Struthio camelus: one gene and its partners. The protein of the gene in region 2 purifies or fractionates together with the protein of the main gene of each other region. This does not show direct contact. Links are inferred from orthologs where the notes say so. Each region holds a gene or a part of one and is shown on either strand. Other genes may lie near its edges.

Region 1 (6,988 bases), on a different chromosome or scaffold from region 2:
CCACAAACAGTTTAATTTCATTCCTTTCATTTTCCAAACTCCTGGCAGATTTGCAGTGGTGATAGATGTGCAGCAGTGCCTATTAATGTAATTGCTGTACAGCTAATAGTGTCTTTTAGAGTAGCTCTTATTTGCGGTGTTTTAATTCAATTTGTTATTTAACCGGAAGTCATCTAAAGTATATTAGTAGAAAAAGTTATGGTTACACAAGCAAGCAACAAAAGGCGTGTCACCTTAGAGATTTGACAAAAATCTGTAATTAAACTGTTCTTTACTAACTTCATAAGCATGTTAATAATTAGTTGTCTTTACAATTCAGATTTCCGTACTGGCTGGGGGAGGATTTGTATGTGTTACTGTGCGTTTGTCCGTACCTTGGTGTTTAGCAGATTAGTAACCTCTGTCAGGAGCTGCTTTGCGCTACTAGCTGCTTTTAAATTAAGGTCTTTGTAGTCAGGCTGCGTGTTCAGACTCTTAGGGTTTTATGCATTCCTGAGTATCATCTTCCTGTTAATTTGGAAGTCTTCCTCTTCTTTTCTTCTTGATCAGTTTTTCCATCCTACTTTTAAAACTTTGGAACTTTTAGTCTTCCTTTCTACTTTTGACAAGAGTTTTTTTTTTTTTTTAATTATGCCTACCCTCCATACTTGTAAGTCTAATGGTTTTCTTCGTTTTCACCTCTAGTTGAGCCTTTTCCTTTGAGTGTGGCAGAGATTTTGATAGCTTTCTGCTGTTTTACAGCATGGTTCTGTTCACTTGGAGATAAACAGCTTCCGATTAAAATCTCTGATTGAAGAGTTCACTCCTTGTGAGACTGCACTCTTGCAGTGGTATAGGGTCCACTGTAACTTCAAGTAAGTAACATTTAATAATGAAATTATGGATGGAATAGAGCTAGAGTTGGGAATTTTGTTGAGAAGTGAATGGTCTATTTAGAAGCCTTTGGGTCTGTAAAAAGTACTTGGTATCTCATTCGGGGATAACTCATTAAGGTTATCCAAAAATACTACTACAGTGTTGCAGGTTGTATGCAGCTGCAAGACTGATTTCCCCCTCCTTCCCCCCAAGCTCTGATGTAGAGACAACAATCATTAAGGTTTCGTGTTTCTATTATGGAACTCAGGTTTTGGCTCGGAATATTTTTGTGACAATTTTTTTTACCTTTTGTGACTGAAATATTTGGGATTGGTACTCTCTTTCAAGTTAACTTCTTTAAAATTTGAACAAAAATTATTCTCTCTTGATGATAGCAAAGGCAGAGCTTCTCAGAAGTCGGGGAAATGAAAAAGCTAAAACAGTAACCAGGAAGGGAAGAGAAGCAATTTTTGGCTGGAGACAAACACCATTTTCATCTTTCATGATACTGATACTGGGCACATGAGTATCTCAGCGCTCCTCCCTGACCAAGGGTTGATGACCTCTGGATGGAGGTGGTATTTTCTCTTTTCGTCTTGCTAAGCTTTCTCTCTCATGTTCTCCACCTGAACAGTATGATCTTACCTGGAAGTTTTAGCCTGATTATAAAAAGAAGGTGTTGAAGGTGGTGGAACAACTCCCCTTGAATGCCTGACCCCTTCCTCAGCCTTTTATGCCACTTTTCTTTCGAATGTAAAGTCCATCAGTGATTCTCCACCTGTAGTTTTGTTTGCGTGCTTTGCGGGGGAGAGGAATAAGTGCTAAACGGGGAAGGTGGAGTATAGCTTGCTTCCCACCCTTACCTACTGGCCACACCATGCAGATCGTACTGCATCATCAGAAGCAACTGCAGAGGAGGCGAGAGGGCAGAAGCTGAGGCTGGGCAGATTAAAACTGGACATAAGCCTAGGATAACTTTATGCTGACATACTACAGGGGACTAAATGAATACTTACTATAATGTGGTACTGCATATATTTAAAACTTAAGGTATGGGTGGAGATGCAAGAAGAAACGCTGTGTCTCTGAAAGCAGAGAAGAGCCTTAGGCAAAGGAACTGGGTTTTTCACCTGTCATGAGGGATGACAACAAGCAGTGGGGAAACATGTCAGTAACATTTTTATTAGCTGAAAATTTCTGTTCTAGGAAAACTGAAATTCATTATTCTGAGTAGTTTTGGCAGAAATGAAATGACACAATGTTTCAGAAATGCGAGAGCAAACTATTTTAATTCCAAAAATTTCAAAGGATGTTGGTAATAAAATCCAGTGAAATGTTACAATAATCATAGCAGAGAGCACCTCCTTTTAGGTTGTTAATGCAGACATATCTGCAAATGCAACTGATTGACAGGAGCAGATTTGTAGAGCAAATCGTTGATGTGGGGCACCCAGTGTTCCCACTGTATGCGGTTTGGGGAACTTTTGCTTTAGACCAGCTCTAGTCTGGTCCTTTGGCCTCAGCCTCTGTTAGCAGTGGGAATGCAATAGGGGTGCTGTGGAAACTCATCTTCCTGTTCTGCTTCATCCCCAAATATTCCCATTTTGTGCACTCCAGGCTGCTTCCGAGATGTGAACTCGGGTCAGTGGTTCATGGCACGGTAAGAGGTGGGCACGATGGGATTTGCTTCAAAGGGGCGCTCCTCTTCTGAACTGAATGCGAGCGTAGATGCCCCTAGGGAGTCCCGGTCTGAAGCAGGGTGCTGTAGCTTGGGGTGGCTCCAAGACGGGAGCAGACAGTACGTTGGGTCTCAGGAAAGATGCTACAAGCTTTGTCTGGTTCAAGGAGCCAGAAAAAGAGGGAAGGTGACTTTAGTGCAGTGGTGTTTGCTCTAGCACCCGCTTCTGTGAATATTCATGTCTTTTTACTTGAAACAGAACATCTCCCGCAGGAGGGGGTCAGTGTGACGGACCTGAAAAGAGCACCGTTTGATGTGAGACCTGCTCTTTCGGAGCACTGGCGTCTTGCTTGCATTTTCTTTTGGAACATGTCATGGTGATACTGTTATATTTTAAGGAGCCTTCACGACCTCGCCGAGGGTAGGTGGTGTTTGCCAACGTTAATTCAAGCAACAGCCAACGGCCTTCTTGCAACGTGCCCCAAGCCGTAGAGAGGAGAAGCTAGGCTGTAACTCCAGCAACGCAGCAGGAGGATGTATGATCTCTAATACAATTTCCAAGCGCTTTGGAAGTAACATCACGATTTTTATTGATTTCTTTTAATTACAAGCCACCACGGGTAAAAGCAGCAGCAGCAGCAGCAGCGCAGCAGGGCGGCTGTGGTGCTCCTCAGCCCGGGCGCTGGGGAGAGCCCAGGAGCACACGCAGCTCGCTCTCTCTTCTCTCCTCAGCTCCCTTTTACTCCCTTTTCCGAGCGCGGCCCTGGCTCCCGCCTTGTCCCCTGCGGCAACGCTGGGGGCGCGGTGGGAGGTTGAACGGTTTGGGGACGCTGTAGGTTTCGTTTCCGGTGGGAAATGTATCGTGGACTAGTCATGAGAAAGTTTAGAGCTGCCTTCCCGCCCTCCGGTACCGGGGTACCAGGGCGGCGGACACCGCTCCGGCAGCGCTACCCCGTGCCGGGCCGGGGGCGAACAACCAACCGCCCGCCCGCCCGTTACCGGCTCATGACGTCAGGCCGCGCGGGGACCTTCCTCACCCCCCCCCCTTCCGCCCACGGAGGAGAACAAGGCGGCAGTGACGCCACAGGGCGCCCGCCCCACCCACCCGCCATCTAATCACCCAATCAGCAGCGCGCCCGGGGTGGTGGTGGCGGGGGGGAGAGGGAAGCCGGCGCTCGCGGAGCGCGCACGCGCGCGTCGCTCCTCCTCCGCCGCGCGCCCCACGCTGGCGGCGCGGCTCTCGCGAGAGCGGGGAGCCGGCTCGGTTCCTGGTTGGTGGGCGCCCGCCGAGCGAGCCGGCGGCAGCGCTGACGGGCCTCGGCCGCCGCCGCGCACCGGGCCCCGCGCGCGCCCCCGCCGCCCCCCCCCCCCCGCGCGCCCCGCGCCGGCCTCAGGCGGCCGCGCCGCCGCCCGCCTCCCTCGTGCGCAGCTCCCGGCGGAGCTTTGTCTGCGGGCGGGATCATGTCCGCCGGGCAGCAGCAGCAGCAGCAGCAGGGGCCGCCGCCGCCACCGGGCGAGCCACCCGCCCCGCCGCCGCCGCTGCCGCCGCCCCCGGCGGGCGCCAACAGCAGCGAGGCCGCGGCGGCAGCTCCGGCGGCCGGGGCCGACGCCGAGATGGAGGTCAGGCGCTTTCGGCCGGCGGGGGGACCCCGGCGACGCGGGGAGGGGTGGGGGGGGCGGCAGGTGCCCGCCACGAGGCCGGCGGCGGCGGCGGCGGACAATGGGGCGGCGGCGCGGCCGTTACTCGCTTCGGGAAGCGCGGTGGGCGGCGGGGCGACCTCCCCGGGCGGCCTGCGGCCCCCCGGCGAGCAGCCCTTGTGCTGCTCTGCCTCCTCGGCCCTGCGCTGCCGCGCCGGGAGGAGCGAGCCCGTTACTGCCCTGAAAAAGCACCGGTGTTTTCCGCGCTCGGCCGTAGCTCCGGACTTTGCGTGCGCGGGGCGGGGGTTTGCTTGGAATAAGTAAATAGCTTTACTCATTTGTTTCTCTGCTTTTTTTTTTTTTGGCGGCAGGTGGTTATTCCAGAAATTTCAAGGGGTTTTGAGTGTGATCGCCTGGAGATGCTAATTTTATCGCAGCATTGTTCCTTTAACGATGTGAGGAAACTGGTTGGTCCAGCTCTTAGTGCTGGGTGTTTTGTACTCTGAGTCATGCTGTACAGTCCAACCTACCTCATTTAAAGCAGTTTGCTAATGCTTTTTTTTTTTTTTTTTGGTTCAGATGAGCAAGGAACTAAAGCACTATGGGTAAAAAGTCCTGCTTGAACCTGTAAAAATAAGGCAATTTCAGGCTAGGCTTCGTGCGTGGAAGCTGTGAAATGCACGCTTTTGATGCTTTCGTGTGAGGGTTCTTCCTGTATTTGCAGAGTTAATCCCCCTTTTACCTGAGGAAGGGGTTGCCGTGCATAAACTGAAGTTTCAGTTTAAATGGCTTCTTGGTAGCCCTAATCAGCTAAGAGGTTGTTTTTCTCACTGTTCAGCTAAATTGGAAGTTTTTGTTGTCTTTATAGCACATGAAGAGTTCAGATGGCTTGTTACTGCTATTCATGTGTTTTTACAGTATTTCAAGTGTTTGGTGTTTCAGGAGAAACATGAATTTTGTAGAGGAGTTCAAACAGTTCGGTCCTTCTTGTGCTCAGTGTAAGACGAGTATTAGATAAACGCGTCGGGAGATGAGTGAGAAAATTTCTGGAAGATCTTTAGCCATAATTTTTTACGTTGAGTTCTTTATCTTTTGACTGGCACACGAGACGTTTGTGTGGAGGTTCTTGTGTTTTCACATGCCTTACCTGCTAGAGTTTCCGGAGGTGACACCCCTCCATGAGCAGCCCATGTTTTGCTTCCCTTTGTTTCAAGTTGTTTGCTTGTTCTGATCAGCTAGCAAAGGTTGCATTTAGCTGAATTGTCAGTTTGCTCAAATAAACAGATGTCTAATAATAATTTGGTGGGCATCTCATTCGTTTCCTCTTTTCACCCTTTCAAGAAGTATTTTGTAAAGCACTGTCTTGCCGTGGTTGAGTGGTGAGGTTGTCCCATTGTTTTTGCTGCTAAGAACAGGAGAAGGTGAAATTAAACGTGGGAGATGATGGAGAAAGAGTTAACTTTAAAAAAAAAAAAAAAAAAAGAGGAGAGAAGGACAAAAAAAAATCCTGACCCGAATGGGTAGTTGAAGGTGCTGTGCTACAGAGTGGGCAGGAAAGGGGATGAGGAAGGACTGCCAAAAAACAAACCCTAAAACTTGTTTTTCTGCTATCAGTAATACTGTTGGTGGTAACAGTAATACTGTTGGTGGTAACAACAGTTACTTGATTTAGTAAACAAGAGAGGGAAGAAAGTACAGCTTCTTTAACATGCTGCCCTGCTTCCAGGACAAAACTGTAATTCAAACTCTTTGTGTAGAGTTGTTCACCGGGTACAGAGTGATGTAGGATTGGGGTAATCTGGAAAGAAACTTGAAACTGCTGTTGCTTCAGGAGCAGAGCTAGTTCTTTCACAGTACTTTCTAGAGGCAGCTTCAGGAGGGCTTTGTCTCAGCACCCTGGAAGTGGCCTGCTGAGCTCCTGGACCACAGCTGGCTCTCTTGTTTCCATTCATGTGATGCTACAATGATGGGGCTGAGTTGGATTATAGAGAGCTAGCTCTGTCCCCCCTTCTGCGGTAGGGATCACTGATGCATGGCCTAGTTAATTTTACAGCATATAATAGAAACGTGATTATACCAAAGAAACAGAAGGTGGATGTGCTCTCCGATGTGTATAGGTAGCAATTTGTAATGAGCTTATTCGCCTTTATGTGAGTATCTTGTAAGCATTGTTAGAAAATAAGTTGTTTCTAATTCTTTTTCCCCTCAGGAATCTTTCGATGATGCATCACCAGGAAAACAAAAAGAAATCCCAGAAGCAGATCCTACATATGAAGAGAAAATGGTATGTAACGTTTGGGAATGCGTACATCTATCCAGCACTTAACGCAGTTGCTTAAAACATAGAGTTCAGCTCTTTTGAAATCTGTTAATTGGATTTATAGGTCTTTGTCTAGTCTTTCAAAAAACATTTAAGTAATTTGAAACCAAAACAGTTAAAATAGAAAATCTCTTTTCCTTTTTAGTGTTTTGTTCTCTGTTCTTCTGTTGCTTCTCTACTTCCGTTGCAGTGATACGTTGATATAACTGGTGATGTGTTTTGTTGGTTCTAGTAAGTGTGGACCTAGGAGTTTTGCAGCGCTCTAGATTTAGGAAGAATGGGATAATGGGAAGTATTCAGACATCCTCGGGGAAAAAAACATAATAGGAATTGTGCTGTCGCTTTTGGAGTTGTCTGTAGAGTAAGTCCTTCCTGGGGGTAAGGAGGATTATGAAGAGCTGAATATTCACTCTCTTGGTCGGAAATCGAAAGATCATCTAGAAAAGGGTCTGTCCTAACTGGCTACTACCTTACTTTCTTAATGTACAGAATCAGTT
Region 2 (7,599 bases):
AAATCCTTCATTTAAAGTTTTCAGCACTAACAGCTAGTTGATTCAACATAAAGTACCTGAAAAAGATCCAACAACAAAAATGTATGAAAAACTAAACTTATTTCAGATTTTCTACCAGTTGAAGAAGAGGGCAGCAGCCTGAGCACTGCCTCTAACTTTATTTAATTTACCTCATTTTTACAGGAGAGTTTCCTTTAGAATATTTATTAGTCAGAAAACAATGATAAGGCTACTTCTCACAGTTTCATTTTCTTTAATAAAGATAAAAACAAATAAGAAGTTAGGTTAGTTAATAGCAAACTAAAATTTCAATAGAAATAATTAGGTTTCCAATACATATCTTTCAACCAATACAGCAACTGGACAAAAAACTAATGCAGTACATATTTTTGTCAGACAGCTGGCAAAAGGAAAAGATAAATCTTTACTAGAGTGCTGAATCACTTTGCGTATGCAAATCTGTAACTTTTCAAGGTATTTTTCCCTTCAAAAATAAAGATCTTTTTCTATATCCTTGCAGTTTTAGGACTTAGAAAAACAAAAATCAGATACAACATGTAATTACTAAATACCTCGTAAGGAATTATCATTTGAATGATAAAACTTCTTAATTCCCACCATTATTCTCTTCCAGAACATTTCAACATTTGCTATTTTTAGAAAAACACTGTTTTAGAAATACAAATGATACGTTTAACTGTTTGTCCACTTCGGGGTGACAGGGAACAGATGGGTAGATGACAACTGCATTATTCAATATTAAACATCAAACCAAAACAGGCACTAACTAATGTACTGAAATCTCACTTCAGTTTGAGTGACATCAGCAAAATACTATGCAGCAGGTAGTGTAACCATTTATTTTTACCTGGATATTTGCACGTAAAAATAGCTTTAACTATATTTACAGGTATGAGTAAGACTATTGGATCAAAAATAAATAAAACATTTTAAAAAACCAAACATCAGAACAGCAACAAAAAGTTTGAAGCTTGATTTTGATACGTCCTTTGCAAGTCACAATTAATCATGAATTTCCACATCCCTTACACAAGACCAAGCCTGATTATTTGTCAGGAGAAAGTAAAGATTTAGCCATACAGCTTACATTTTAAATTCATACGTTCAAATTTCTCTTTTCACACTCATTAATAGAATGCCATAGGATACATTTTGTCTAATTTATTTGAAAAGATACAACTCCCACACAAATTCCAAACAACCTCTGTTGCCTAACAGCTCCATCCCCTAAAATTTAAGGACTTTTTGATATCCTTGATAAACCTGGCAGAAAGAGTGCTGGGAGCACTTACAGCATGCCTACACAGGCAAAATAATTTAGGGTGTGAATTTAAAGTGCAGTGGCAATTCTACCCTAACTTGTTTTTATGGACACACCTATTTTACTCTAAAACAGCCAAAGGTTCTTTAGCTCAATCCACACAGAAACAAAAACCCCACACTCCACACGGAAAAAGTAAACAACAAAAAAAAAACCCTGCCACGCAACAATTGCTTTTCCATACTTATTTCCTTGCACAGGGAAAAATCCCAAATTTTGAAAGATATTACACTTCCATGTATGCAGAAACCTCATACACAATTTATTGCAAAACAGTCTGAAAAAATTTTGGAGCTTAACAGGTGTTTGGTAGATTTGCCAATGATCTGAAAAAGTCAGCAATGAGCTTCTAATGATGAAAGCAACCAAATTAGTTATTCAGTCAATGCTCATTTTAAAGCTCTCAGAATAACTGAGTCTAATGCACAGCATCCATATCTCCCTAAAAAGTATATGAGGATTAACCCAACAGCACATTGCTCTTTCCTTACAAGAAGTATTTTTTTCTTTACAAGCTGTATTTAATCTAAAGAGGCTACTTTTCCAGAAGCTTGATTTAAAGGGGAAAATTAATGAGAAACTGTTAATCTTAAAAAAAGAAAAATCATCTAGTGAAAAAACTCTGCTCCCTTAGGCTATGGAAGAGAACTATGGATAGTTCCAAGGCTTTGGGAAAAAATTATGCCTCCCAATTTCAAGGCAGCATTTGAACACCAGTGGTGGTTACATAAACCATTTTACTTTCAAGTGTAAAACAGCTTCTGTCAATTTCCTCTTCCAAGAGTTGAACAGTAGATTTAACTTTGCAGTAAACACATTAGTAATACCCACTAGAAATACAGCACAAACTGGTGGATGCATAGCTGGAAGAAGTTATCGTGAAGGATAGATTTTAAGCTGTGCCCAATTACAAACTGTATCATAAAAATCAGAGAAAGCATAACCTTAAGATTTTAATCCATCTGATATAGTTTAGTTATGCCTGCAAGTCAGGTATCTGCAACACGTCTGCCTGATTTCTTACAGAAAAAAGTAATCCAAGTCCCAGCCCTAATTTTTTCTTAATCTTACTAATAAAAATGAGATCGGACATCTACACACTGGAAATATAAAGCTTGCCAGGTCCACTTGTGCTAAGAAACGTGGAAAGGAAACTAGCTAGCATTAAAAAAAAAAAAAAAGAAAAAAAGTATGAGTAGTTAAGATTTGAGTTTCCTTCCTTTCAAATAATTTTTTTCTTTAAATTACATCAGATGGCTTTGGGATTTAAATTGAACATGCAGACTGTGAAACAGAGAATGCATGGTACGGAAAAGCTGAACCAACCACGTAAAAGAAAAATGAGAGAAGGAGTCAGATGCAACACAAACTGACAAGGGAAACAGGCCTGGCTCTAGATTTAAAGAGAGGGGGGGAAAAAAGGACAAACATTGCATACAGTCCTGAAAAGACTTTTTTTTTTCCAGCCCAGGCTGTGGACTGTAACTTTTACTACTTTGCTTGCATAATTACACACACAACATTAGTTAAACAAGCACCATATTTATATATATATATATATAAAAGTAGCAAATTCTGAAATACTTCTACAATTGCATATTAATAAAGTCATTAGTTGCATTCAGAAAGATGGCAGTACATTCTCTGTCACTTTTACCTCATTTGTTAACGAAATCATATACATCCAAAGTAGGTGCTTTGACAGTACTACTATGTGACATTTTCAAGCAGTTGACAGCACTGCACTGATCCAGTCACATCATTACATTATTTTTCATCTGCAGCCTTTAGAATATGCACCATATCTGACTAGATTTCCAAGTGGTCTTGAGCCAGAGACTTCCCACCTTAAAAGCACTACCATTAGAAAGGAAGCACAGTACACATTATAAATTTTTACAAGACAGTGTTATTCACAAATTGAGCAGAGATGCAATTACTTAAACATCCTATACGCACACTTTAGCTGGGCAACCAAAACATTCCCAAAAATTAGAGTTTGACTTTTTTTTTTTAAGTATATTTTTCCTGGACATAGGAAGAACATCTAACAGACATCATCTTCTCTGAAAATATATATATTTTTTACAATAATCTATTTACAAATCTATGGCTAAATAATTCTTATGTTTTTCAGAATTCCTTTATCTTCCACCTTTTTTTAAAAGGAGCTTAATTTGGCTATATTATATGCAAGTGATACTCTTACTCATCACTCAGATACTTCAGAGTAACCCCTACCCAAGTTTACTAATGTTACTTTATTTTTTTAATCCAAAACACATATTCCAATTGTAACACTGGGTTAGTTTTTCAGTTTCACCAAGTACTCAGAACTCAAGTCCACAGTTTGACAGATCTTAGTGGAGATCTAGGTGTACAACCAGAACAAGTCTTTAACAATCAAAATATCTCCTGTTATCAGTTACAGAAAACAGCATTGCCACTACTGTCTTAAAGGAAAACAACTGCACAGTTTTTTGCTTGGACCTTGGTAGACCCTACTCTCCCTCCACCCCCACCTCAACAAATTTCAGTCTTTAGTTTCACCTTATCTGTGAGCAGTGACACACTGAGTCATTCTAAAGTCTTCAAGTGATTTCCATGAGGACAGGTAGAACATCTGCTTAATAATTCTAAACACTGTTTTCCTTTTAATCTTTAGCTTAGCAAAACTCTTGGGTATATACTTAGAGCTAAAAAAACAAACCCAAGCACGTTAACTTGGAACCAGCATCTTTGTTGTTCCCCTGCAAAATGCCTCTCCCTGTTCTGCATCCTTTTCATATAAGGTTTTTCTTCTTCTCATCTTTCCTCCTCCAGACATATCCCCTTACCTGAAGTTATCATTTGAACTACATCAGCATTGGAGTAACTTTGTCGATTTAAAAACTAATTTGGTTATTCTAGAACATCTGTACAAGTTACACATAGATACTAAACGCCACTTCAATTAGACATCATTTCAATGAGCCTGGCACCACTCCACAGAGTTTTCTGACAGGATGAACAGAAGGTTGGTAGCAAAATTACCATTAAAATAATCCTCCTAGTACTGTCTTACAGCTAGCTTCTTTTTACTTTGGTCCTGCTTCCAAAGGTAGGTGCTATTCAAGCACCTAATGTAACCCTTAAGAATTACATTCATAGTATGCAGACTACACCCATTCCTTTCACATTTTTAAAATCTGGTAAACTGTATTTTGCTTAGACAGGTAACTCTAACAATGACCTACCTGACTCAGCGAACTTTCAAATTTTCCTTGCTTAGCAAAGGCCAAGCAAGGAAAATCCAAGCAAAGGCAAATCTTGTTCCTGAGATTTCCAGCATCTCTGTTGGGGACAATTTTATTCCTCCTAAAATTTCACAGATGCTTCTGCTCGACTCAGTTACACTGCATCTATAAATGCTAACTACAGATACCACACAACATTCATATTATAGCCTCCACTAAAGTTTCCCACAGTGCTTTCACTTGAGTACAATACAAAGCAAACATTTATTAGATATGCCTTGTCAGTATTGTTGCCATTTTTAAAATTAAAACCTTCTCTGTTCAGTCATATGGCATTTAAAATTGTCATCCAATTCTAACTTTAAAATTGAGAATTTATTAAAATGTATACAAGATATATGCAGCTAAAGAAGTAGAATCTTCTTGTAAATGTAAACATTTCTTGTAAAAATAACAGAGTTTTTTGACTAATTACAAAAGGAATTTTTTAAGGCACCAACTTTTCTGGGAACATTTTTGGAGCGCACTAGACGCTAGATGTAGTTTATTCTGACGTAAGCTGCTTTACAAAAAGTGACGTTTAGCCTGCACTCACAACATATGCAGTTGGTGCCTTTGCTAACGCACTAGCAAAGTTCTCCTCTCTCTAAGCCAAAGTCTCTTTGCAGATAAGCAGAAGTGCATGATCATACTTACATTGCACCTTTGAATGCTGCAATGTTATAGAACAAACATAATTCTATTCTGGCATGCAATCTTCAACAAAATCACTAACCATATTTCAGCTTGGTGGCAATTCTAGCAAAAGGGAAAAAATCCAGCTTGAATTTCAAGTCTCTGGCCTAAGTTTACACACCATCACTTTAGTTCATTGTAAATTCAGCAAACATGTTTTATGACCTTTTGACAATACGAATTTTCAGTGTCTATCACTTTTGAGGATCAAGTTGCATATTAAAAAAAACAACTGCCCTGTGTTTTTTCCAAATTTTGTCCTAAATTAGAATCTTGAATTGTTTTAAAATTTCAGAACAAAATAGCTGTCATCACCTCATGGAACATTTTACTGTCACAGTTCTCCCCATGTGCCGTTTAACTTTTAATTTCCTTCTTCACGTAAATGAAGGAAAAAATGTATTTTTCTCTCTTTTTTTTTAAACTCTGGAACAAGAAATATAACCCTTTTGATGTAAGAAGCTTAAAAGAAACCAAGTAGCAAAGCATTAGATCTTGAAGTTAAAGACACTCAAGACACCACACAAAACTTTCTAGCCATATCTCCTAAAACACTGGAAGCATGCTTTCTGAAGGTCTCTACCGGCCTTAAACATTCACATTTTAAGGGGCTAAACTGAGAGTAGTTATTGTACACTGGGCTGAAATAATACTCACCCTCCTGAAGATGCTTTATTGTTACTGCAAATAACATTACCTGGACTCTCAATCTGATATAGACAGTGAGGACAAACATCGAATGACCTTTTAATTTTTACAAATCACATCAAGAATCTGAACGGGCCAATCCCTTAAAAAAAACAAAGAAACAAACAAAAAAACCCACACTATCTACAAGGTAATCCTAAGAAGTGAAACCTGCACTGGGAAAACTCTTCACTGAAATATATATTCGGTAAGAATCAAACTCATAATAGTTGGAACTACAGTTGCTAGACTTACACAAGGTTGTTCAATTGTTACAAGATAGATTCGTCCTTGTGTAAAACTGTTGTACAGTTTTCTTAAAGAGACCAAGGATCTAAACTTCCAACTTCCTAGTTAAACTCTTCTCTAGCTCCAATAAGGATAGTGTTTCATAACTTAGAGAAAGTACTTCAAGCAAAGTACCAGTTAATTATTCTATTCCCACTGCACATATCCACCGACTGCTTTTCTTTCGGTGCTACTAATAATTTTTCAATCACCACGAATACCTGTTAATGTCAAATACATAAGCCAGGTGCCACAATGCACCGATTTCTTCATCTTCACCTAACCACACATTTTTTGCAGAGGGGCAGCTCTGTCCAGTACCCTCCTTCACACCTTCCCAAACACCCTGGTTTCTGAAAGCGCTCTGTACACCCGTGCTTGACAGCCTTAGAGCTAAAAATCGCAATTTCCAGCTCCCCACAAACTTTCTTGCAGCGCTCTGGAAAACAAGAGCCAAACGGTGCCCTTCGCCGTTAGGAAGTTCACTCGAGTTGCCGGTCTGGCAGGTTCCCCCCCGCCCCTTAAATAGTTTTTCTTCCTGAACTAAGAATTTTCAAAGGCAAAGGGGGGGGGGGGGGAAGGGGGAGGAAGAAAGGAAACACCTATGGGGAAAAGAGTGCCCAAACAAGCACAAGTTTATAGGACGAGTGCGCGGAGATGCACAAGCCGGAGGGCGCCGGGCTCGGCTCGCCGGGCAGCAGCTTCCGGGAGACGAGGAGCCCACGCGGCTGAAGCGGACCTGTCCCAACCCCTCGGCGGGGACGGCGGGAGGCAGGCAGGGAGGGAGGAATACTCCGCTCGCCCACCTCTCTCGGGGGAGGAGTGGGGGGGGGGGGCGCGGATTTCTCCGCGGGTGTCAATCAGCCGCTCTGAAGCCTTGCTGGACACGCTGAAAAATCCACGCATCCTTCAACAACACTGCGCCCAACGCCGCCAGGCAAGCAGCCGGCTCTGCTCCACGCCGCCTCTCCCGCGCAGCGCGGCGCCTCGGGCCGCCCCCCGCCCGCCCCCCCTCCCGCCGCCGCCGCCGCCCCCCGGGCCGCCTCTCGCCGACCTGCGGCCGGGCTGCGCGGAGCCAACTTAGACAAAGGGCACTTACAGACTCCATGCCGCTCCCCTCCAGCTGTCACCGGCCGGCGCGCTCGCCACCCCACGCCGGCCACCGGCTCCCCCCCCCGCGCCCCGTCCCGGCCCGCCCCGCGGAGGCTGCCCGGCGGCAGCCACCGCCCCCCCCCAACCCCCCTCCCCGCCGCCCGCTCCCTCCTCCCCTCCCCCCATTACAAAGGGAGCCGGTTATAAATAGCCGCTCCC
Region 3 (7,634 bases), on a different chromosome or scaffold from region 2:
CCGGCGCCGGCTGGACGTGGCTGGCAGCCGCGTAGACATCCCGGATGATGGGGTTCAGCTTGCTGCTCTCCATGAGCCTCGGCAGCCCTGGGAGGGGAGCACGCGCTCGTCACCCGCCGCCACCGCCGCTGCCCTGCGTCCCGCGGGGTTCGGCCGGGGTGTAACGAGCCCGTTGTTCGCCCGAGCTGCCCACCGGGCGCCGCGCAGGCTGCGTGCTTGGGGGTCCAGAGCTTTAAATCTGATGTTAAATTTCATGCATAATTTCCATGCAATTTCCCCGAAGGGCACGAGAGCCCCGTCGGGGCAGGGAAGCGGGAGCGCTCCAAACAGCGCGTGAAACGGAGCAGCCGAGTTTCGCTGCCGCAAAGGCTTGAAGCGCGAGAGGCAAACAAACCGCCCTCCCTCGACAGCGCCCCGGCCGCAGCTCGCCTCGGGACCGCCGGCAAACGCGACAGAACAACCCAAAAGTTACTTTCCCCCCCGCCGAGGAGCGTCCCTCTGATGGCGACACGCACGACTTCATGCCACGCATCGCAACACGGGACCGCACGGCGTCTCGAGCAGGACGAGCTGCCTGCGGCCGGAGCGCGCGATTAACAACCTTCACCTTCCCCGGGGATGACCTGGCCGCTTTTAAGAAGCCCACCCGTTAAACGGACCGCGCACCAGGCCGGCAGGCAAAACAAAAAAAGGGGGAAAAAAGAAAGAAGGGGGGGGGAAGGGGGGGATGCTCAGCGGAGCTGGCGGGAGCGGCTCGGCCAGCCGCGCCTCGGCCAACGCTTCTCCCGGCGCCGGCAGAGCCTGCGGCCGCCCAGGCGGGCTCGGCGCACGCCGCGGGCGCCTCCGGCGGGGCAGGCGGCGGCGGCGCGCAGGGCGCCGCGGGGCATCGCCGCCGGCCCGGTTCGGCTCGGCTCGGCTCGGTTCGGCCCGGCCCGGTTCGGCTCGGCTCAGCCCGGCCCGGTTCGGCTCGGTTCGGCTCAGCCCGGCCCGGTTCGGTTCGGCTCAGCCTGGCCCGGCCCGGTTCGGTTCGGCCCGGCGCACACGGCACCGCGCTCCGGTGCTTTCGGGCAGTGCCCGGCGCCGGCGGCACCTGCCGGGCGGCCGCCCCGGGGCAGCGCCGCCGCCGCCGCCGCCATTGGCTCATTCAAAGGCGCCGCCGCGGCGCCGTCCCGGGAACCGCGCGCCGCCCCGCGCCGCCCCGGCGGGCTGCGGCTCCGCGGGAAGCGCGGGCAGCGGCCGCCCCCGCCCCGCCGCCGCCGCCGCCGCCGCCGCCGCCCCTTACCGCCCGCCGCCGCCGCGCTCTCCCCGCGCCGCCGCCGCCGCCGCCGCCGCCGCCGCGCCGGGCCGGGTCAGGGCCCGCCCGCCCGGGGGCCGCCGGGGCCGCGGCGCGGCGGGGGCAGGGCGCGGGGCGCCATCTTCCCGCGCTTCCCGGGCCGCCCCCGTCCCGCTCGGGCAGCGAGCGCCGCCGCCGCCCCCGGCCGCCCCGCGCCGCCCCCGGCCGCCGCCGCCCCGCGCCGCTCGGTGTGCTGCACCCGGCTCGGCCCGGCCCGCGCGCGCTCACACACACACTCGCGCTCGCACGCATGGTAGCTGGGGGCGGGCGGGATCTGCGGCTGCCCCGCGTGGGGCCCCGGCAGCTGCCTCCCCCCCCCCAGCCCGCGCGTGGGGTGTCTGCAAACTGCCCCATGCACGGTATCTGCAAACCGCCCCGCGTGGGGCACCTGCAAACTGCCCTCGTGGGGTGTCTGCAACTGCCCCCCCTGGGGGTCGTCCCCAAAACTGCCCCGCGTGGGGTGTCTGCAACCGCCTCCCCTGCGGGTTGTCCCCAAGACTGCCCCGCGTGGGGTGTCTGCAACCGCCTCCCCTGGGGGTTGTCCCCAAGACTGCCCCGCGTGGGGTGTCTGCAACCGCCTCCCCTGGGGGTTGTCCCCAAGACTGCCCCGCGTGGGGTGTCTGCAATGGGCCCCCCGGGCGTCATCCCAAAGACTGCCCCGCGTGGGGTATTTGCAACCATCCCCCCTGCGGGTCACCCCACCAGCTGCCCCGCGCAGGGTGTCTGCAACCGTCCCCCGTGGGGTACCCACAGCTGCCCCCCGGGGTACGCTCCGCTCCGGGGCACCTGCGAGGGCCCCGCACCCCCCGCGGCTGGCAGGGCCCTGGCATGCGGCACCCCGGCTCCCGCGCGGGCAGCAAGTGGCGTCGCTGGGGGCTCCCGGGGCCGGGGCGACCCGCTGTGCCGCGCCGTGCCGTGCTGCACCGTGCTGCACTGCGCCGTGCCGTGCCGAGCCGTGCCGAGCCGTGCCATGCCGAGCCGTGCTGCACCGCACCGTGCCGTGCTGTGCCATGCTGAGCCGTGCTGCACCGCGCCATGCCATGCCGTGCTGCACCGTGCTGTGCTACACCGTGCTGCACCGCGCCATGCCATGCCGTGCTGCACCGTGCTGTGCTACACCGTGCTGCACCGCGCCATGCCATGCCGTGCTGCACCGCGCTGTGCTGTGCTACACCGTGCTGCACCGCGCCATGCCGTGCCGTGCTGAGCCGTGCTGCACCGCGCCATGCTGAGCCGTGCTGCACCGTGCCATGCTGCGCCGTGCCGTGCTGTGCCATGCCGGGCTGTGCTGCACCGCGCCGTGCCATGCCGTGCCATGCCAAGCCGTGCTGCACCACGCCATGCCGTGCTGCACCGTGCCGTGCTGCACCGCGCCGTGCCGTGCTGCACTGTGCCATGCCGTGCTGTGCCATGCCGAGCTGTGCTGCACCGCACCGAGCCGTGTTGCACCGTGCCGTGCCGTGCCATGCCGAGCCGTGCTGCACTGCGCCGAGCCGTGCTGCACCGTGCCGAGCCGTGCTGCACCAGGCCGTGCCGCGCCATGCCAGGCCGAGCCGTGCTGCACCGCGCCGTGCCGTGCCGCGCCGTGCCAGGCCGAGCCATGCTGCGCCGCGCGCGGGAACAACCTGTGCTCCTCGGCATTCCTAGAAACGGGGGGATTTTTCTCTGAATCTCAACAGAGAGAATCAATCACTGCAAAAATGCTCTGCTCAGTGCCAAGGAGAAGTCTGAAGGATTTGCTATTTGTTCGAAAGCGCTGCCAAAACAGAAATGTTTGCAGGCCTGCTCAGCCGGCGGGCCGGCTGACTGCCGGTGGCGGGCCGGCGCCGGGCGCGCTCGCGGTCTGTCGGCGCTTTATCGGCTGTGGTCGATGAGCCCGGCGGCAGGACCGTGCCGCCTCGGCCCCCGGACCGGCTGCTCCCTAGCTCACCTGTGAAAGAGCGGGCGCTGCCAGCGAGCGTTAAAAATGAATGGCGCAGGGGTAAAAATGCCTTTTACATGTTTCTGTATGATTCTGCCGTCTCCGAATCCCTTTGTGTCACCGCAGCGGCCCCGCAGGCTGCGGCTCTCCCCGGCAGCCGCCCCCGGGGCCGGCGGCGGCGCTGCGCGCGGCTCCCTGCAGCCTTTTGCACGTTACGGATCGTTTCGGACACGCTAACAACTACTTTCCAAAAGTAAAACAGCAAAGCTACGCTGTCTCAAAACTAAATATCCTGCCAGCAGCATCGCAGGCCACAAAATATCCTGGCAGAGAGCGGTATCGAAGAAGGGGGCGAGACGAAGCGCAAGGCTCTCAGCGGTCAATCACACGTGAAAGGCAGCGGGTGTGAAAGCTCCCGGCTCCGAGATGCGGCGCGTGAGCAGGGCGCGCGGACGCCGCCACGCACCACCTGAAACCCGGCGTCCCGTTTTGCAAGCCGTGGGCAGCTGCCGCGCTCCTGCCCTGCTGAGGGCCCGGGGACGCCGTCAGCAAGCCGTCCGTCCGCTGCCCTGGCAGCCTGGCGAGCAGGCGCGGAGTGACCGAGGGCGCTCGGCTTGCCGAAACGCTGATCGTTTCCCGCCGCTCGCCCGAGCGCGAGGAACAGGGCTTCCCGGAGCCGGGGGCACGAAGGCTGTTTTTCTCCCTTGCTTCTCGTTTCTCTCTGTGTATGAAGCTAAAGCCCCCAGGCTGTGCTGTGCCGTGCTGTGCCCTGCCGTGCCGTGCTGTGCCATGCTGTGCTGTGCCCTGCCGTGCCGTGCTGTGCCATGCCGTGCTGTGCTGTGCCATGCTGTGCCGTGCCGTGCTGTGCCGTGCTGTGCCATGACCTGCCGTGCCGTGCTGTGCCGTGCTGTGCCGTGCTGTGCTGTGCCATGCTGTGCCGTGCCGTGCCGTGCTGTGCCGTGCTGTGCCATGCTGTGCCATGCCCTGCTGTGCTGTGCCCTGCCGTGCTGTGCTGTGCCATGCTGTGCCGTGCTGTGCCGTGCTGTGCCCTGCCGTGCTGTGCCATGACCTGCCGTGCCATGCTGTGCTGTGCCCTGCCATGTCATGCTGTGCCGTGCTGTGCCATGCTGTGCTGTGCCATGCTGTGCCATGCTGTGCCGTGCTGTGCCGTGCTGTGCTGTGCCATGCTGTGCCGTGCTGTGCCATGACCTGCCGTGCCATGCTGTGCTGTGCCCTGCCATGCCATGCTGTGCCGTGCTGTGCCGTGCTGTGCCATGCTGTGCTGTGCCATGCTGTGCCGTGCTGTGCCGTGCTGTGCCGTGCTGTGCTGTGCCATGACCTGCCGTGCCATGCTGTGCCGTGCTGTGCCATGCCCTGCTGTGCTGTGCCCTGCCGTGCCATGCTGTGTCATGCCGTGCCGTGCTGTGCCATGACCTGCCGTGCCATGCTGTGCCGTGCCGTGCCGTGCTGTGCCGAGCTGTGCCCTGCCGTGCTGTGCCATGACCTGCCGTGCCATGCTGTGCTGTGCCCTGCCATGCCATGCTGTGCCGTGCTGTGCCGTGCTGTGCCGTTCCATGCCGTGCTGTTCCCTGCCATGCCATGCTGTTTCCTGCTGTGCCGTGCCCTGCCGTGCCGTGCCGTGGCGTGCCCTGCCGTGCTATTCCGTGCTGTTCCCTGCCCTGCTGTGCTGTGCCCTGCCATGCCATGCCGTGCTGTGCTGTGCTGTTCCCTGCCATGCCCTGCTGTGCCGTGCCATGCCGTGCCGTGCTGTGCTGTGCTGTGCTGTGCCATGCCGTACAATGCTATGCTGTGCCATGCCCTGCCGCATTATGTATGCCGTGCCATGCTGTGCTGTGCCCTGCCGTGCCATGCTGTTCTGTGCTGTTATGTATGCTGTGCCATACTGTGCTGTGCCGTGCCCTGCCGTGCCGTGTTGTGTGCTGTGCCGTGCCGTGCCATGCCGTGCCGTGCTGTGCCGTGCCGTGCTGTGTGTATTGTGCCATGCTGTGCTGGGCCCAGCCATGCCCTGCCGTGTTACGTGTGCCGTGCTGTGCCGTGCCGTGCCGTGCCGTGCCGTGCCGTGCTGTGCGTGCCGTGCCATGCCGTGTGTGCTGTGCTGTGCCGTGCTGGACCCAGCCATGCCCTGCCGTGTTACGTGTGTCGTGCCGTGCCAGCCGCACCCAGGGGCCGCATCCTGCTGCCCGCCTGCCGGGAGCGGGCGCCCGAGCAGGCCCACCCCGAGAGCACGCAGCGCCGGGGCAGGCGCGCCGGGCGCAGGTCGCGGGCAGAGGTTTGCCCGGCGGGCTGGGGGGTGCAGAACGCCGCTCATTCCCTCGGCATGAAACACTCGTCCTCCGGGTTCACGGGGAACCTGACGCATCTTCAAAACACTCAAACGGCCAAAATTTGCGGTGAGTCATGATATGTGAGTCACAGCAGGACTAAAATAACTCTTGCACCATCGTTCGCCTGGTGGACAGAGACGGCCGCTGGCTCTGCGGCGTTTCCCTGCGCTAGTCCGGACCAAAAGCAACTTACTCATGGCTCCCGCGCTCGCTCGGCGCTGCGGCGCCGGGTCCGGCTCGGGCCGGCGGGGACGCCCCAGGCCGCGCGCGCCCGGGGCTCTGGGGCGCCTTCGGCCTCCCCAGCTAGAAGGAGCCCTGGGCGGCCCCGGCGCCCTCCGGAGCTGCAGGAGATGCTGCCCGGCTCCAGGCGCTGCGAGGGCTGAGCCGGCGCCGGCCCCGCTGCCCCGGCAGCCCCACGGCGGTGGCTCCCGTGCAGCGGTGGCTCCGGCGCAGCGGTGGCTCTGGCACAGCAGTGGCTCCGGTGCAGTAGTGGCTCCGGCGCAGCGGTGGCTCCGGTGCAGCGGTGGCTCCGGTGCAGTGGTGGCTCTGGCGCAGCAGTGGCTCTGGTGTGGCGGTGGCTCCCGTGCAGCGGTGGCTCCGGCGCAGCGGTGGCTCCGGCATGGCGGTGGCTCTGGTGCAGCAGTGGCTCTGGCACGGTGGTGGCTCCGGTGCAGCGGTGGCTCCCGTGCAGCGGTGGCTCCGATGCAGCAGTGGCTCCCGTGCAGCGGTGGCTCCCGTGCAGCGGTGGCTCCGGCGCGGCGGTGGCTCCCGTGCAGCGATGGCTCTGGCACGGTGGTGGCTCCGGCGCGGCAGTGGCTCTGGCACAGTGGTGGCTCCGGTGCAGCGGTGGCTCCGGCGTGGCGGTGGCTCCCGTGCAGCGGTGGCTCTGGCACAGCGGTGGCTCCGGCGCGGCGGTGGCTCTGGCACGGTGGTGGCTCCCGTGCAGCGGTGGCTCTGGCGCGGCGGTGGCTCCCGTGCAGCGGTGGCTCCGGCGGGCTGCGCCGATGGCCAGCCCGCGGCTCGGCTCACTCCCGCACCTTGCAGAGCGGCTCGCTACCGCCGTTTCCACCATAGTTTTTCCTCTGCTGAACAAGGGTTTAGAAGCCTCATGCCTTCTCTGGGTTTTTTCAGCCGGGTTAAGCTGATTCAGGAAAAGCTGGATGATCTTTCCCCACTGACCTTTCCATGGTTATTTATTTAGACCGTCCCAGCTACATAAGCGCCGTTATTCTCTGCTCACCTAGCCATTAACCGTGGAGCAAACAGCCCCGGTTTAGCGCTCTAGGACTCTCCTCGACGTTTCTGCACCGTTCGATTTGGCCCCGAGGAAGCAAAATTCATTGCAGATGTTACTTTCCGCAGCAGAAGTCGCTCGCTGGATTAGTCAAACCTTGCTGTCGCTGCGATTTCAGCGCGGCGGGCGGCGAGGGGGCTCCGGCGGCGGCGGCGGCGGCGGCGTGGCACCGCCGCGGGCCGGGGCAGCGCTCCGAGCACGGCCATGCCCCCGAGGGCGCCCCGGAGCGGAGGTATGGTTGCGGTCACAGCTGGGGTAGTTAAATCCGACGCTCATCTGCTTTATGCCAGCTGTGCCTTTAAAAGGAAGAGCGTTCAGGCATTGGATTTCATGTCTTTTTGCTGTTTGTTTAATATGAATTTAATCCACATCCATTTCTTTTTCAACCTAACTTTCTTTGCGTGCTTCTGTGCAATTGCGTAAGACATGAAGAGCTTGTAAGCGGTCCCGCAGCTGTGCAAGGTTTGTATTAATGTGGCCGTTACATAATTTTGACACCGATACGTTATGTACACGTCTGCAGTTCCCGAGCAAGGCTCAGAAAAGCCATTTCCAACGAGGAAAAAAGAAAAGCCCCTTTTGTACCTGGGGAAAAAGTCACTCGAGGATGTTTGGGCTCCTTACCCGGGTGTAGCCCTCCAGTAAGCCAATGCCCACCACTGTCATCGTAAGTCCGTGCGGGCGAGGAGGAAGCGGCCAGGTCTGGCGGGTGGGGAAGGGGCGCTCGCCGCTCTGCTCTCT
Region 4 (7,333 bases), on a different chromosome or scaffold from region 2:
CAACTAAAAGTGTTTTTTTTTTTTTCTTTTGCACATCAAATAGAATTAAAACAGTCTTTAACAAATAATTACATAACAATGTATTACCCTATGTATTGTAGCATGTAGGGAAATAGGGCAAGGTAGTACTTTATTGTAATAGCCATTTGTAGAATGACTTGGGATTGATCATGTGTTTATACACAAAGAAGAGGAAGTAGGTAGTATCAAGGAGAGACTAAGGGTATGGTATGCCGATGCAACACACCTCGCTTTTAATCAGATCTTTCCTTAAACGTATACTTAGCATCTCCTTTAACCCAGCTATTGACTTTCTGGTTTCCACAGTATCCAAATACAGCGTGCCCAGCAACATACCTAAAAGAGTACAGTATGAGCGTGCGTCCAAGCAGTAAATGAGATCACAGAGCACATTCTGACTTGCACTGGGGAGAGAGGAGAGAAGGGGAAAAATTCCACAAGCAGTCAAAAACCATGAGGACATATTTCCTCCTTTAAGGCCATTCTACAGGAACAGCGACCTTTACAAACGCTCCAGTGAAAGAAATACATAGAAATTGATTTATTTTTTAAAAGGATGAAGTGTTATTGTCCTCTGAAATATTTAGTGAATGAAGTGTGTCCAGGTTCATCAGGAATGCTGTCATCATGAATTCCCCTTCTCTTAAAGAAAGGGAAAGTCAAGCTTTTCAATTTCCCTGCTTAACAGAGTTCCCATCTTCTAGGAAAAGCCTGTCAGATTGAAATCGGGATCCTTCAACAAGTTAATTCAACTAGTTTCAGTACTTTCAGCGACAAGTATCACCCTGCCCAGGGACCCATCAGCAATACCCATCGTTTTACCATTCTTCTCCTGGTTTGTTTTACTCAAAGACACACTTCCCCTCCATTTCCTGCAAGGAAGGCCTGTAAAGAAGGTGAAACCAACTCTGCAGCAAGCTCAGAGGTCAGTCATGCAAAAAGTGCTGTCAACTCACAAACTAAGAGAAGAGAAAGATTTATACTGGCTTTCACTTACAGATGTTTTTCCCCTCCAAACTTTCTCTTCCACAACTAACATTAGAAGTATAAAACACACTTTACAGCAATTTATGATGCTTCTAGTACTAGCTTCATCCTCATCTATCTCCAGGTTATATGGAAGGCCACCCTTTACCAGCCCATTCCTAGCAAATGCACTGCAACTTATTTGTTACAGCTGTTCTCATACACTCTGCCTGATCTCCTAATGCATGGAAGAACAAACGTAACTGTATCTGAGGCTAGTCTTGATATTGACTGGGAGTGCAACCTTCAACTGTTTTTAAGTTATATATCTAAGCAATTGGTAAACAAACATATTAAGCCAACTTTTCAGACAACTGACATCAAATTCAGCATTCTTCACCGAGCAGAGATAAGAACTTGTTGAGAAGTCACATAACTATTTTCCCAGATAAAGATAACTGTGGAAAGCATTACTACATTTTACTCTCTAAGTTTAGATGCACATCTCACTAGCTTGTGGCTCCCCACAAAGATCCTTCTAACTCTTTCACTACTTTATTACGTCCCTTCTTTCATATTCTTAGTCTTTGTGCCCCCTTAGTCTCTTTTCACTGAAAGTGAAAAAAATTAAACATATTAACCTGTATTCTAATATTACAACACCTATTCTCCTCTCAGCCTCAAAGGCTTTCCAATTAACTGCAATTTGAGCTCTCCAAGGAGGGACAAACATCAGCTTATTAGCTTTTTACCAACCTGACTATAAACCACAAAAATCAGTGAAGCCATTTTTTCATTATTCTGTGCTTGACAGTTTCGGTATAAGGTATGAATGACCTACACCGTAGGTCAGAAGAAGATCATGCTATTATCCATTACTATGTATTACCTAATGTCCTGAACAGAGCCAAACCATCAGAAATTCAAGAAATAAGCATAAGGTTACACTGCATTCCTGGCAGGCCCTTTCCTTTTAATAGCACCCAAATGCTTCTGAGGTGGATGACAATCCCTAATATTCCAACACTCGATATCAGTGTCCAGACTGTCTCACACAGTAGCATATTGTTCCCACTAACAAAAGTACCAACCCAGTTTTTCCACAAAATTCAAGCATCACAGATAAGAAAATATGTTGTTGCACATCCTTTCAGCCAGCAACAGTTCCCACATTTCGGTAGACTAAAACCGCAAGTTTTCAGCACATTTGAATCGCGCTAGTTTGACAGAGACTAAAAGAAGAGGCATCACAGAAGAAAAAGCAAAGTTACCAGCAGCCACCACCACCTCTTTTGTGTTGCTCTTTTACACTTGAGCAAATGCAGCCCATTCGGCCAAAGTCCTTAAGCAAGACACACAAAAAACCCAGCTGGGGTAAACCCAGCGGCAACCGCCCGGCTGCAACACCCCCGAGGCCCCCGTTACAAGGTCTCCTGCCTTCGCTCCCTTTGTTTTGGTCACGGAGGAGCACCACCGGCCCCTCGCTCGCCTGCCACCGGCCGCCGCAGAGGCAGCTCCCGCCCCCTCTCCCCCCGCCCCGGCCTCCGGGGCCCCCGCGCAGGAGCGGGGCCCCTCGCACCCCTCCCCGCCGGCGGCCCGACCCCCGTGCCGGCGGCAGGATGCGGCCCGGGGGGCCGCAGCTGAGGGGCGCCCCCCTGCCCCGCACCTCCCCCGCCCCGCGCGGGGCCCGGCGACGCCGCCCCCCACGCCCTCCCCCCCGCCGCGGGGCCCGCCCGCCCCCCGCACCCCACCTCATTCGGTCTCTCCGGTGGTGCCAACCGCCTCATACAGGGAAATCAGCCAGCTCAGGAGCCCTCCCCCCGGCGCCCCGGCGCGGCCGGGCCCTCGGTGCGCAGCGGGACCCCCCCGAGCACGGACCCCGCGGCGAGGCGAGGGGACGGCGGCGGGGGAGGGGTCAGACCCGCTTCACAGACAGCCCGGCTCCACCGCAGCCCCTCGCCATTTTTGTTTCCCGCGGAGGAGAAGCTGGTGCATTGTGGGAGCACAAAGAGCCGCGGCCCCGCCCCGGCCGGGCCCCGCCTGCGCCGACAGGCAGCTCCCCGGCCAGGGGGCGGGGCGGCAGCCGCGCTGCGGCGGAAGGACACAGGTGAAGCCGAACCTTGCCCGCTGGTGAACAAAGAGGGACTACTTTAGGCGTGCTCGCTAAAGGGGGGGGAATATCCCTGCCCGCGGCCGGGACTCGTTACGGCAGCGCAGAGGGGTGCGCGCCGCCCCGCCAGCCTCCGCCTATTGTTCCCTCGTCGCACCTGTGGCGAGGCGGCGAGGTGCCGGCGGCGCGGCGCGGCGCAGTCCCGCGGGGACCCGCGCAGCCTGCCTGCCCGCCCGCACCGCTCTACCTGCCCCCGCCGCCCACCTGGGCTGCGGGCCGTGAGGCGGGAGCCGGCCCGTCCCCTCGGCGCCCCGCCGCGGCGGGGTCGGCCCGCGCGTCTAGAATGATCCAGGGAGGGCGGGAAGGGCCCTGGCCGGCCGGGGCAGCCGGCGTCGCGCCCCAGAGGGCAGCCAGGCGCCCGCGGTGTCCTCCCCGGCCCAGGTAGCAGGGGCTGCTCGGGGGGGGGGCCTGCTCACACCAAGGGCGTGAGGGTAGACAGTCTGAAGGAGAAGCTCCTCTGCAGTCGCAGTCTTCGAGATAACTGCCATTTTAGGAGCTGAGCTAAAGTTTAGTTTCTCTTTCTAGCAGCAGCTGTGTTAGCGAACTGGAATAGGCTTTTCAGTTTTCATCATCACCAGCAGCTTGTTTTTATGAAGAGTTCCTTAGGCTTAGCGCAGCCTCAGCAGCAGCTCTGATTAAATGCAGCAGTTGTACAGTGACACACAATAGAAAGTTTGCCCCAGTCCCATAGGGGCAGTTCCTTGGCACAGTTCAGACCTCTAAGCAGTAGTGGAAATGCAAGTATTTACTAGATGGGATCTCGCACGGGCAGTCTGGCCTGTTCACTCTGCCTTAACGTGTTGGCTGAGCTTCCACAGAAAGATCAGCCATTGGAAACGACACTGGATCTGTTTGCAGACCCTCTCTGACTCCCTTTGGCCCCCTGACGTCTCCAGGGGTGCAGTACAGTAGCTTGCCAGCCTCCCTGGGTCAGTGGTCCCCAGGAGGGTAATCCCTGGGTGCGCATGGTCCTGAGGACAGCAGGACGTGGAGGCAGCTTGTCACCCAAAAGAGGACCAAAGAGAGTGATGTTTAAAGCAGATGAGTCTGAAAGAGCTGTCATTTTTACACCTTAATCTGGCCGACTCTGAGGGGTGTCAAAGTAAAACAGTAAAACCTGAATCTCTTCATGATGGCAATTGTTTAAAATACAGGTTTTAGGGAATAATTCCCTAAAATTCCCTTTGGATGTACTAACTAGCCACTGCTCGGCCCATGATCATGATGGCCTCTAGATCTGTGAAGAACAGGCTTGCACAGCACAATTGCCATGGCCTGCTCTTCACGTATTTTGAGATACTGCTAGCAGCAGTTAGGTACCACTAGTACTAAAGGCAAGGGGTCACCGGCGTGAGAAAAAAAGTTGCACTTACTCAAGCTGAGAAAAACACACGTGCAAGTATTTAACTTTTAGTTATACTGATAATAGTAGGTGAGAACCAGTGTTAAACCAGTTAAAAAGTAAGATTTTTTTTTATCAGCCATAGGATGAACATGACTAAACATCAATAATTGGCTCCCTCACAACTTACTTTTTTACAGTCCCCCTTGGAGGGTCTTACCAACCTGTTTCTGCTGTCTTTTTGAAATTGCTTAAATCAGAACTTCTCAGAGTGCGATCTCCCGGTGTAAATTGTTTAGCTCGCCACCAGCACCCCCTTAAAAAAAAATAAAAAACCTCCTTGATCAGAAAGACACATGTAGCTCTACCCTCCTTTTCCTTGGAATATTGTTCCCTGAAACCGTTTTCATAACTAGCATAAAGGCACAGAGCTGCATGGCCACACCCTAAACATAAAACACCACTTGTCACAGAGCTAGGAGTTGCTGCTGGAATAGCATTACCTTTATCTGAGGGCAGCGCTAAAAGAAACTAAGAATCCCCACAGTAAATAAGGATGATTAAAGTTTGATACACTGATTAGTTTTCTATTAGGGGGATTGAACTAGTTAGTCCAGAACTTTGCTCCCAAAGCTTGTTACTATTAGCTTTATTACTATAAACAACAGACCATATCAATATTATCCCCACAAATTTGATTCCATATAATATTTTTCTCTCAGAATTTCTGTGAAGCACAGTATGGGCTCCCAGCCAAATCCTAAATAAAGCCATGTTAACCTCTCTTTCCTTTTAAGGTCGGCTCTTACTGATAGCTGGAAAAATTCCAACCTATGCACCTCACACAGACACCCCCTCTTCCATCACAGTAATTTAGTAACTAGTTTTTACACAGTTTAGCAGGTCACTGAATCACCATCCTACAGGAAGCTCCTTTCTAGAGCCATCACCATGCAAGTCTTATTCACCTGATGCGTTTACTAGACCAAGTAAATCAAATGTTTGAGAAATACCTAAACATAGATGACTAAATTCAGCTACTTCTACTCTTGGAGAGTAAATATGCACTGGAACAGTCACTTTTATAGTTCTTTTGCCCAACCTGATGAGGTAATTACAGGGTTGGGAATCTTATTGCAAATGTGCAAATGATTCTTTTATAAATGGTTTTCAAATTGAAATGCTTAAATCAGCAAATGCTGAAACCTATAGTTGCAGCAGAAAGGATCCTGATTATCACTGGCATATGTGGGGCAAAGAAGGAACAGCAAAAGTAAAAGTCAGCCTACTTTAGACACTCTATACAATTCCAATTATCGAGAGACATGTATCATTAACCTGATTTTGAGCAAACTAGAATCTTCGTCTGCTTTCTGCTCAGCACTAGTAGTAAAGCAACTAGTTATTTCTTCTGTTAAGATCCAATAAGACTATATATGATGACTTTAGAATGGACTTTCCTGTTTTGTTTTCTTTTTTGCCTTTTGATAATGCCTTGAAAGTATTTGCACATACAGTTTAAGCACTCTCTGCTATTGTGTTTTCAATTCCAGACGTATTACATATATACTTTTTGTCACAGCATGGCCAAGGCCAAATTAAATTACTTCTCCTCAAATGTCGGTAAGAGCTCTCTTGTGTAGGAGTTCCAGGAAAAAAAAAAGACTTTGATTATAAGGTTCTGCATAATAATAAATACGTTCAGCTTTCTTCCACCTCCTTTCACAAATAGCTCTGTTTTCAAAGGGGGTTAAAGAATACTGACCTGACACGTCTCTCCCTTAGTGTTTATTTTTGTCCACATATTGTTTGGTACATTTTTGCCACAAAGATGAATAATAGCAAAGTCTTTACTTTTTGAAATTGTATCTTGCCTTGCTGGCACAAGAGAGACAATTTAAATTTCATGTTCAAAATGTAAATTTTCTGTAACCAGTAAAGCTGGATAAATTTAAATAATGTTTAAATACAGACTCAGAAATAGTGGCATGTCCCTTAGCCAACAGCCCTTCTCTCAAATGTTAGTATATCGTTTTAAAGCAGGTGTTATGTTTATACACTTTCTTAGCAAGAATTCTATAAACAAATAATAAAAGTAAGCAAATCAAAACAGAAAACCCATACACTTAAGTCAACAGTGTATGTAGATGAGAGCACCAACTGCTGTAGAGTATTATTTTCCATTGCCTTATTGTATCACCCAATGTAACGTCAAAATGATAACCTCGAACAAGACAATACTGTAAAGCTTATCCTTGTACAGATGGTTGTCATGACCACAATTCAGTAAGGAGGGAAAATTAGATCCCAGGCCACTTTCTCAGTATTGTTTGAGCATGGGAACAGCAAGGAAGCTCACCTGAGATCTTCCTATGTTCAATCAAGTTGAATATGGTACATCTACTTTTACGTAAACATAATAATTAGTGAGACAGTGCACTTATGCTGTATTTATTATTCTAGGACTCAGAAAAGGATCTTCAATTTCAAAATATAAAAAATAGGTGAGTGCTGTTATAAGATATGAAGAAATTAGTATTAATTGCCTTATAACCAGATAACAATTGTTATCATAAAATTGCAGTAATTATTCTCGCTCTATCCTAAGGATATAAAAATATTTGTGAAAACAGAACAAAATAGATATCTTAAAATATTTTTCTAGATAGGTAAGATTTTGCATTCTTGTATATCAACATTACAGAAGAAAATACATTAGTGCTACTGGATGCTGACCACATTGCCATTGGTCTTCACAGAGAAACATTTTTTTTTCTAGTAAAAGCACTTTATATACTTAAGATGCTTGAAAAAATGCTTAAAAGAAGCTGAAG

Evidence for each region.
Region 1: the proteins of EZH2 (region 2) and SMARCA5 purify together in Homo sapiens (affinity purification with mass spectrometry, with the first as the bait; 3 studies listed by BioGRID). This does not show direct contact. The link is inferred for Struthio camelus from reciprocal best matches to the Homo sapiens genes EZH2 and SMARCA5.
Region 3: the proteins of EZH2 (region 2) and PHF19 purify together in Homo sapiens (affinity purification with mass spectrometry; 10 studies listed by BioGRID and IntAct, counting the BioPlex papers as one, with this or other methods). This does not show direct contact. The link is inferred for Struthio camelus from reciprocal best matches to the Homo sapiens genes EZH2 and PHF19.
Region 4: the proteins of EZH2 (region 2) and MTF2 purify together in Homo sapiens (affinity purification with mass spectrometry; 10 studies listed by BioGRID and IntAct, with this or other methods). This does not show direct contact. The link is inferred for Struthio camelus from reciprocal best matches to the Homo sapiens genes EZH2 and MTF2.

The regions. Positions count from the first base shown.
Region 1 is NC_090945.1:34,085,275-34,092,262, forward strand, and holds the start of SMARCA5 (SWI/SNF-related matrix-associated actin-dependent regulator of chromatin subfamily A member 5), read left to right. Parts: upstream 1-3,971; 5' UTR 3,972-3,994; coding exon 3,995-4,153; intron 4,154-6,380; coding exon 6,381-6,455; intron 6,456-6,988. UniProt on the Homo sapiens protein: ATPase that possesses intrinsic ATP-dependent nucleosome-remodeling activity.
Region 2 is NC_090943.1:62,688,316-62,695,914, forward strand, and holds the start of EZH2 (histone-lysine N-methyltransferase EZH2), read right to left. Parts: upstream 3,020-7,599; 5' UTR 3,005-3,019; coding exon 3,000-3,004; intron 1-2,999. UniProt on the Homo sapiens protein: Polycomb group (PcG) protein. Catalytic subunit of the PRC2/EED-EZH2 complex, which methylates 'Lys-9' (H3K9me) and 'Lys-27' (H3K27me) of histone H3, leading to transcriptional repression of the affected target gene.
Region 3 is NC_090961.1:3,054,572-3,062,205, reverse strand, and holds the start of PHF19 (PHD finger protein 19), read right to left. Parts: upstream 3,019-7,634; 5' UTR 2,975-3,018; coding exon 2,959-2,974; intron 1,334-2,958; exon of another isoform or gene 1,283-1,333; intron 88-1,282; coding exon 1-87.
Region 4 is NC_090949.1:18,605,094-18,612,426, forward strand, and holds the start of MTF2 (metal-response element-binding transcription factor 2), read right to left. Parts: upstream 3,013-7,333; 5' UTR 2,744-3,012; coding exon 2,739-2,743; intron 1-2,738. UniProt on the Homo sapiens protein: Polycomb group (PcG) protein that specifically binds histone H3 trimethylated at 'Lys-36' (H3K36me3) and recruits the PRC2 complex, thus enhancing PRC2 H3K27me3 methylation activity.